2 linked regions of the Xenopus tropicalis genome follow. The protein of the gene in region 2 binds, or shares a complex with, the protein of the main gene of each other region. Links are inferred from orthologs where the notes say so. Each region holds a gene or a part of one and is shown on either strand. Other genes may lie near its edges.

Evidence for each region. The genes of interacting proteins can lie anywhere in the genome.
Region 1: the proteins of acvr2b (region 2) and gdf2 are in contact, whole or in part, in a crystal structure (PDB 4FAO), measured with the Homo sapiens proteins. The link is inferred for Xenopus tropicalis from reciprocal best matches to the Homo sapiens genes ACVR2B and GDF2. Residues at the interface, in NP_001097.2 of Homo sapiens: Asn35, Glu39, Cys49, Glu50, Glu52, Lys55, Leu57, Tyr60, Ser62, Arg64, Val73, Lys74, Cys77, Trp78, Leu79, Asp81, Phe82, Asn83, Glu94, Gln98, Val99, Phe101; in NP_057288.1 of Homo sapiens: Arg333, Ile346, Ala347, Pro348, Lys349, Glu350, Tyr351, Glu352, Lys397, Ser399, Pro400, Ile401, Ser402, Val403, Leu404, Lys406, Gly410, Val411, Pro412, Thr413, Leu414, Tyr416, His417.

Annotation. Positions count from the first base shown.
Region 1 is NC_030683.2:61,308,647-61,312,400, reverse strand, and holds the start of gdf2 (growth/differentiation factor 2), read left to right. Parts: upstream 1-881; 5' UTR 882-1,386; coding exon 1,387-1,702; intron 1,703-2,886; coding exon 2,887-3,754. UniProt on the Homo sapiens protein: Potent circulating inhibitor of angiogenesis. Signals through the type I activin receptor ACVRL1 but not other Alks. Signaling through SMAD1 in endothelial cells requires TGF-beta coreceptor endoglin/ENG.
Region 2 is NC_030682.2:13,794,140-13,797,893, reverse strand, and holds the end of acvr2b (activin receptor type-2B precursor), read left to right. Parts: intron 1-345; coding exon 346-484; intron 485-1,039; coding exon 1,040-1,170; intron 1,171-3,301; coding exon 3,302-3,496; 3' UTR 3,497-3,537; downstream 3,538-3,754. UniProt on the Homo sapiens protein: Transmembrane serine/threonine kinase activin type-2 receptor forming an activin receptor complex with activin type-1 serine/threonine kinase receptors (ACVR1, ACVR1B or ACVR1c).

The DNA of each region.
Region 1 (3,754 bases), on a different chromosome or scaffold from region 2:
TTCCGTAATTTGGATCTTCATACCTTAAGTCTACTAAAAAATCAATAAAACATTAATTAAACCCAATAGGATTGTTTTGCATCCAATAAGGATTATTTATATCTTAGTTGGGATCAATTACAAGGTACTGTTTTATTATTACAGAGAAAATGGGAATCAGTTTAAAAATTCTGAATTATTTGATTAAAATGGAGTCTATGGGAGACAGGCTTTCCATAATTCGGAGCTTTCTGGATAACGGGTTTCCGGATAAGGGGTCCGATACCTGTGTGTGTATGTATATATATATATATATATGTATGTATATATGTATGTTTGTGTGTCTCTATACATATACACTGTGTAGAGGGTAGCTCTAATGATTAATATAAACCAGTTTTTCAAGTTGCACCTGAAGCCAAATCTCCATATCTAAGGGTTTTTCTGTGGATGGTGGGACAGTACGTCTGCGAGAAGCCATAAAACTCAGTTACTGAACAATGGGCAAGGTGTGGTTTTTATCAACCCCCATCTGATCAGTTGGTATGTGGGGGCAGTGGCTGAAAGGTGTATAAATGTGGACTGGACAGAGCAACCTGGAAAAAGAACCTGGGGGAAGAACCTGGGAGGAGCACCTGAGGACTGCATCAGAAGTGACCGGGCAGGATGTGAGACAGACGAGAGAGGAGGCCATGGCTAGAGAAAAGGAACCAGACCACAATGTTCTGTGTTTTTTGGTAGCTATATGTAGACTTGATATTAATCTGTATATGTAAATAAAGTAAATATATTTTGTTTTGTTAACTAATCTTTTCATTGTAACAATCCATTGATTTTCTACTCAATATATTCATTTTAATATACACTTATTGGTGTGGGTTATTTGTCTGCTTCTCAAAAGAACCGGAACCCTAGTAAGAGGGGTGATTAATATTATTATTAATATTATATTATTATTATATATAGTTCAAATCTTACATATGTAAGTACATGGTGACAGAGAAAGGCACTGAATATTTTTCCACCAGACTTTTAGAACTAAAACAGACATGGTGTCACATATTTTCTTGGTAAAAAGTTATTCTAAGGGCCCTTGATCTACATCCAAATTTCATAATTACACACTGACCCCTTCAGTGTAGTATTTAAGGTCCCAAAATAATGTTAGCATGTTACATATTTTACATCAACAAAGGAAATTAATGAGATAAGCAAAACTGACACACTGCTATCCAGGCTTAGAGATAAGGAGAAGTGAATGTGTAAGCCTGGTTGTCAAATGACAGGCAAGTGGTTTAAAAAAAATATAAGATAGTGTTTAGTTGACTGCTGCAGTGAATTCTATGCATGGTGCTTGAGGAATCTTATTGAAACCTAGCAGTCTTGCAGTGAAGTCCGTCCACAAACATGAAGTTTATCACACTCTCAGTAGTTCTTTCAATAATTATCATCTTTTTTGACACTGTAACAAACAAATCTCTCCAAGGCTTGGCACCCAGAAACCATCACAGACACTATGAAGAAAAACCAGAAGATATCATGAGCCTGTTTATGGAGAACACAAAGAAGGAGTTTCTGTGGGGATTAAATTTATCCGGTGTTCCGTCTCAGGACAAAATAAAGAAAATGCCCCCACAGTTTATGATTGAGCTTTATAACCGATTTTCAGAGGATAAAACATTAAAGCCTGTGTCAAACATTATCCGGAGTTTTAATGCTGAAGGTAAGGCTCATCTGAATATGTATGTGAGTGATTTTTGGTTGATCCAAAATCTTTGAACCTGAAGTGTAATTAATTAATGTACAGATTTTACAATATCTGCTTCCTGTGTTTGTTTGTGCCACTGTCAAATGCCAAGATTATCCTTAAAACAAGACATCACAGATGCTTTGATTCTCACTGCCCTGAGTAAAACAAAAGGAGTATCTCAGTGACCAGTGATTATGTTTCCATTTATTTCCTTTTTATCTGATAATTTCAAGTTTTTCAAAAGGAAATATTATTTGGTCGTTATTCAAATTTTGCTTATTGACTAAAAAAAATCTCACCTTGTATAAAACACTTTAAAATTGTCACTTTAAAATTGTCTCTCTATAGGCTGCTTAAACAGAGCTGTAGAATAAAGGCTGGTACTGGTTTAATTAAAAATAGGCTTGATAAGGTGGATATAATATGATAAGGATTGCATCTATTCCTCCATTTTGGGAATAAAGGCAATTTTTAGCCATTTGTTTTCACATCAGACCCATGTCCCTCCAGGTTATTTCAGTTTCTAAGCACCCTCTGTGCAGTACAGTGTGCAGTGTTTCAGTTAAGTGGTGACTGTAGTGCCATGATTTGGGTATTCTGTGACTACACTTGATAGTCTTTTACATAGAAACCATTTTGGAAACCTTTTCTGGCAATACTTTGTGCTACTATGTTATTAATATTTAATCTTTATTCATTAATAGCAGTCTATATTTCTAATTGCTAGCTATCTACTATGTTAATTCTACAAATGGCCTTTAATTTAAAAACAATTTTACCCTGTGAACAAACACATGGGCCTCTTAATTGGCTGCCAGAGGCCCATATGCATTCACCATACATGAGTGTAACACTTTGTTCAGTGATTTCCATTTTTTTTTTTACATATAAGCAGACAGTGCTAGGCACTGAAGGACATGCAGCAGTGTAATGATAGGGGAATCAAACTCAGTATCTGCGGGGAGGTTGTTAAGTTCTGACAAGGGTATAGATTGCTAATAGGGCAAATTTACAGGATAGGAATGCCTCTATGCACAAATGATACACAAGTGCATTCAACATATAACTATCCAATTTAACTGCTTACTGCTCATGATGATTATTCTTAGAGTTGTATTACTGCGATCATAAACATGTTTTGTTTTTTTCGCATTTAGACATTCTGTCGTCATCTGCCTTGGAAGACACATTCCAGAGCCACATTGTGTTGTTTAATGTTTCAATACCACAGCATGAGGAGCTGACAGAAGCTGAGCTGAAAATGTATGTATCTCTTGGGAAAAAGTATCATGGACACTTGCTGGTATATGATATCCTTTACACAGAGCCCTTTGAAAATCTTCGATACCCCAAATCATTAATAGAATCAAAAATAATTGAAAGGAGTGGCTGGCTATCAATTAATGTTACCAGGGCAGTCAAAAGATGGATTACATCAAGCAGAATAACAAAAAAACTGGAGATTTTTCTTGGCTCGAACAAACCTCTGAATTCATGCCTTAGATTACAAGATAATCGAAGAGGTGTCAAGATAAACAGTAGCTATCCACCAGTGCTTCTTGTGTTCTCTGATGACAAGTGGAGCAAGCCTCAGAAGACAAAAATGGAAAGAAAGGAAATTATTTTTCATGAGGAGAATATTGGCACACAAACTGTGTCAAAAAAAAATACTGTTAAATATGCAAATAATGGGCATAAAAATTGGAATTTTGGACTGGGTAACGGCAAGATGAGGGTTAAGCGAAGTCAAGCAACTAACTATTGCAGGAAATCCTCATTAAAAGTGAATTTCAAGGATATTGGCTGGGATTCCTGGATAATTTCACCCCCAGAATATGATGCTTATGAATGCAAAGGAGAGTGCTATTATCCTCTTACTGATAACCTAACACCCACAAAGCATGCCATTATTCAGACACTTATGCACTTCAAAAACCCCAAAATAACAAGAAAGGCATGTTGTGTGCCCACCCAATTGGAGCCTATATCTATCTTCTATATAGATGACAAGGGAATACCAACAAT
Region 2 (3,754 bases):
TGTTGAAAACAGTGGCAAAATGTGGAAATCGCCTTCAGATGGTACCGTACTGATGGCAAGGGGAGGTGCCAAGTTTGGGGTTTTTAAAACAATTTTGATTGGGTGATGCCTGAAATTATGGTTTTCTATATGTTTTTCTGTGCCCTATTCAACTTGATTGGCTGCCCCCGTGGCTACACACAGAGCTGTCGACTCCCCCTATTTAATTGGGAGTTACCCAATTTGGCTCATCTCCCTTAGGGCAAGAACCCACGGAGCGAGCTACTCGCCCATGACAAATATCAGCATATCTGCATTATACTGATACACCCAGTGCTTATACTTTAATAAATGTTCTTTCTCTAGGTTGGCACCAGGAGGTATATGGCCCCTGAGGTTCTGGAGGGAGCAATTAACTTTCAGCGAGATTCCTTTCTCAGGATAGATATGTATGCCATGGGACTGGTGCTCTGGGAAATAGTATCCCGATGTACAGCAGCAGATGGTAAGTCTTTGCTACCATCTTGTGGTGGTAATTATATTATAAGCATTCAACTGTATATAATAACTGTTACCCTGTATGAGCGGCTTTTCAGGTTGAATAGGTTGTGTTCTCTGTAAATAAAATACAACAAAAATGTGTTAGGGGTTTACTTACCCTTTTTTTTTAAGCCTGGACTAAAAGCATAGTTCCTGGAAATGATGTGTAATCTCAGCTTCACGTCTACTATCATTTATAACAATAAGAGTCTAAAGTTTGTGCCGGGTCTAGCAACCCATAGCAACCAATTAGATATTTTCTTTCAAAAAGTTGTACATGTGATTTGCTGGCCAGAGCCTTCAGTCTCAGAGGTAGGTAATTCCACAACTAGTTAGTATGTGGCCTTCCTGAACCAGATCTGAAGGTAAACTCATTTCTGACTTTATTTTCTCATTCGGAAACCTGCTGCACTTTGCAGTTTGACTCTTTTAGATTATGTTGGGAGTAGTAGTTTGAGGATATTTGGAGGGACACATCTTAACCATCGCTGAACTGACTTTAACTCATCCTTGTCTACAGGCCCAGTTGATGAGTACATGCTCCCATTCGAAGAGGAGATTGGGCAACATCCTTCCCTTGAGGACCTGCAGGAAGTTGTGGTTCACAAGAAGATGCGCCCCGTATTTAAAGACCACTGGCTGAAGCACCCAGTAAGGCCTATTGCATATGCTAGAATGCCCATTAGTTTTTATTCGTTGAGCGTATGAGTAAAAATGACCATAGCCACCCAGATTTTGCCCCCCCCATGGTCATCATAATTGGTGTTTATAGAAGTCTTATCGGAAGAGGAATTTATCCAATGGGATTTTCAAACCTGCCCAGTAGATATTTAACCAGTTCCTGGCAGAGAATATTGGTCATGTAGCCTGTCAGATCGCTCAATTCATAAGCCATTAAGCTGTTGAACATGGTCACCGAATATCGGCTTATATATGGGCAGCTTAGTAAAGAAAACTGTACTTTACATTCATGTTGTTCTTATAATTACTCCCCTACATTTGGGGGAAAAAACGACATTTTAGACCAGGGATCCCCAACTTTTTTTTTTTTTACTTGTGAGCCACACTTGGATGTAAAGAAATGTTTGTGAGCCACTCAGGCATGAAAAAAGTTCTTTGGGGATGCCAAATAAGGGCTGTGATTGGCTATTTGGTAGCCTCACGTGTACTTCTGGCCTGCAGAAGGCTTTGCTTAGAGTAAAACTGTGTCTCCGTTAGGGATGCACTGAACCCAGTTTTTTGGGTTCGAGCGAATCCATGTTAAGGGATTTTGCCGAACCCCCGAATCCATGTTAAGGGATTTGGCCGAACCCCCGAATCCATGTTAAGGGATTTGGCCGAACCCCCGAATCCATGTTAAGGGATTTGGCCGAACCCCCGAATCCATGTTAAGGGATTTGGCCGAACCCCCGAATCCATGTTAAGGGATTTGGCCGAACCCCCGAATCCATGTTAAGGGATTTGGCCGAACCCCCGAATCCATGTTAAGGGATTTGGCCGAACCCCTTAATACATGTTAAGGGATTTGGCCGAACCCCCGAATCCATGTTAAGGGATTTGGCCGAACCCCCGAATCCATGTTAAGGGATTTGGCCGAACCCCCGAATCCCTGTTAAGGGATTTGGCCGAACCCCCGAATCCCTGTTAAGGATTTGGCCGAACCCCCGAATCCCTGTTAAGGGATTTGGCCGAACCCCCGAATCCCTGTTAAGGGATTTGGCCGAACCCCCGAATCCCTGTTAAGGGATTTGGCCGAACCCCCGAATCCCTGTTAAGGGATTTGGCCGAACCCCCGAATCCCTGTTAAGGGATTTGGCCGAACCCCAAAAATCCCTGTTAAGGGATTTGGCCGAACCCCAAAAATCCCTGTTAAGGGATTTGGCCGAACCCCAAAAATCCCTGTTAAGGGATTTGGCCGAACCCCCAAATCCCTGTTAAGGGATTTGGCCGAACCCCCAAATCCCTGTTAAGGGATTTGGCCGAACCCCCGAATCCATGTTAAGGGATTTGGGCGAACTCCCGAATCCATGTTAAGGGATTCGGGCGAATACCGAACCAAATCCTAATTAGTAGGGATGGGCAAAATGATTTTGACCACGCGGCAGTAAAATTCGCCACGCGTCACGCAATTTGACGCAAATTGTCGCTTTCTATAATGTGCGCACACACATTAAAACAAAAAATACACATGCGTCATGTAAAGCGACCAAATTGCAAGACACACAGCAAATGTTTTTGCCCATTCCTACTAATTAGGATTAAATGTCGCTGTGCGCAAACCGTGTGGCGAAAAATTTAACACCTCCGCGTTTATGCTGCGTCATTAACCCTTCCAGATTCGGCCGAATCTGAACCCTGCCGAAAAAGGCCAAATCCTGGCTGAATACCAAACCGAATCCTGGATTCGGTGCATCCCTAGTCTCTGTGCTTCCAAAATAGTCTCCAAGCTAGAAATGTAAAAATGGGCACCTACTTATGTCCACTGGGAGCAACATCAAAGGAGGAGGTAAGCTCAAGACACACTGGTTGGGGTTCACTGTTTTAGATCATGATCCACCAGAAATGCCTAAACCACCTGAACCATGGCCACTTCCTATTAAGCCCAACCACTTTTTGGAGTCTGCAAATCAGGCCTGTCCCTTTAAAATCAGGGCAGTGTGGTATATAATCACTGATTTTGCAGGCTGTTCAAAAACTATAATTCATATGTATTAGTGCTTTTGTTTGACCCAGCTTCTTTGAGAAAAATCATCTGACATTTCCAACTTTCTACTTCCAACAGGGTCTGGCCCAACTGTGCGTGACCATTGAGGAATGCTGGGACCACGACGCGGAGGCGCGGCTTTCTGCGGGCTGCGTAGAGGAACGCATTTCCCAAATCCGTAAATCAGTGAACGGCACTACCTCGGACTGCCTTGTATCCATTGTTACATCTGTCACCAATGTGGACTTGCCACCCAAAGAGTCCAGTATCTGAGGTTTCTTTGGTCTTTCCAGACTCAGTGAATTTAAAAAAAACTAGGAAAAAAAAAAACTCACGAATGCAGCTGCTATTTTATCTTGACTTTTTAATATTATTATTATTTTTTTTTTTTTGAATTTTTTTTTTCTTGGATTCTACTTGGATCGGATCAATTTTACCAGCACGTCGTTGTATAGTATTAAAAAAAAAAAACAAAAAACAGAGACATCTCAGCAAGCATTCAGGTGCCGACTTATGAATGCCGATAGGTGC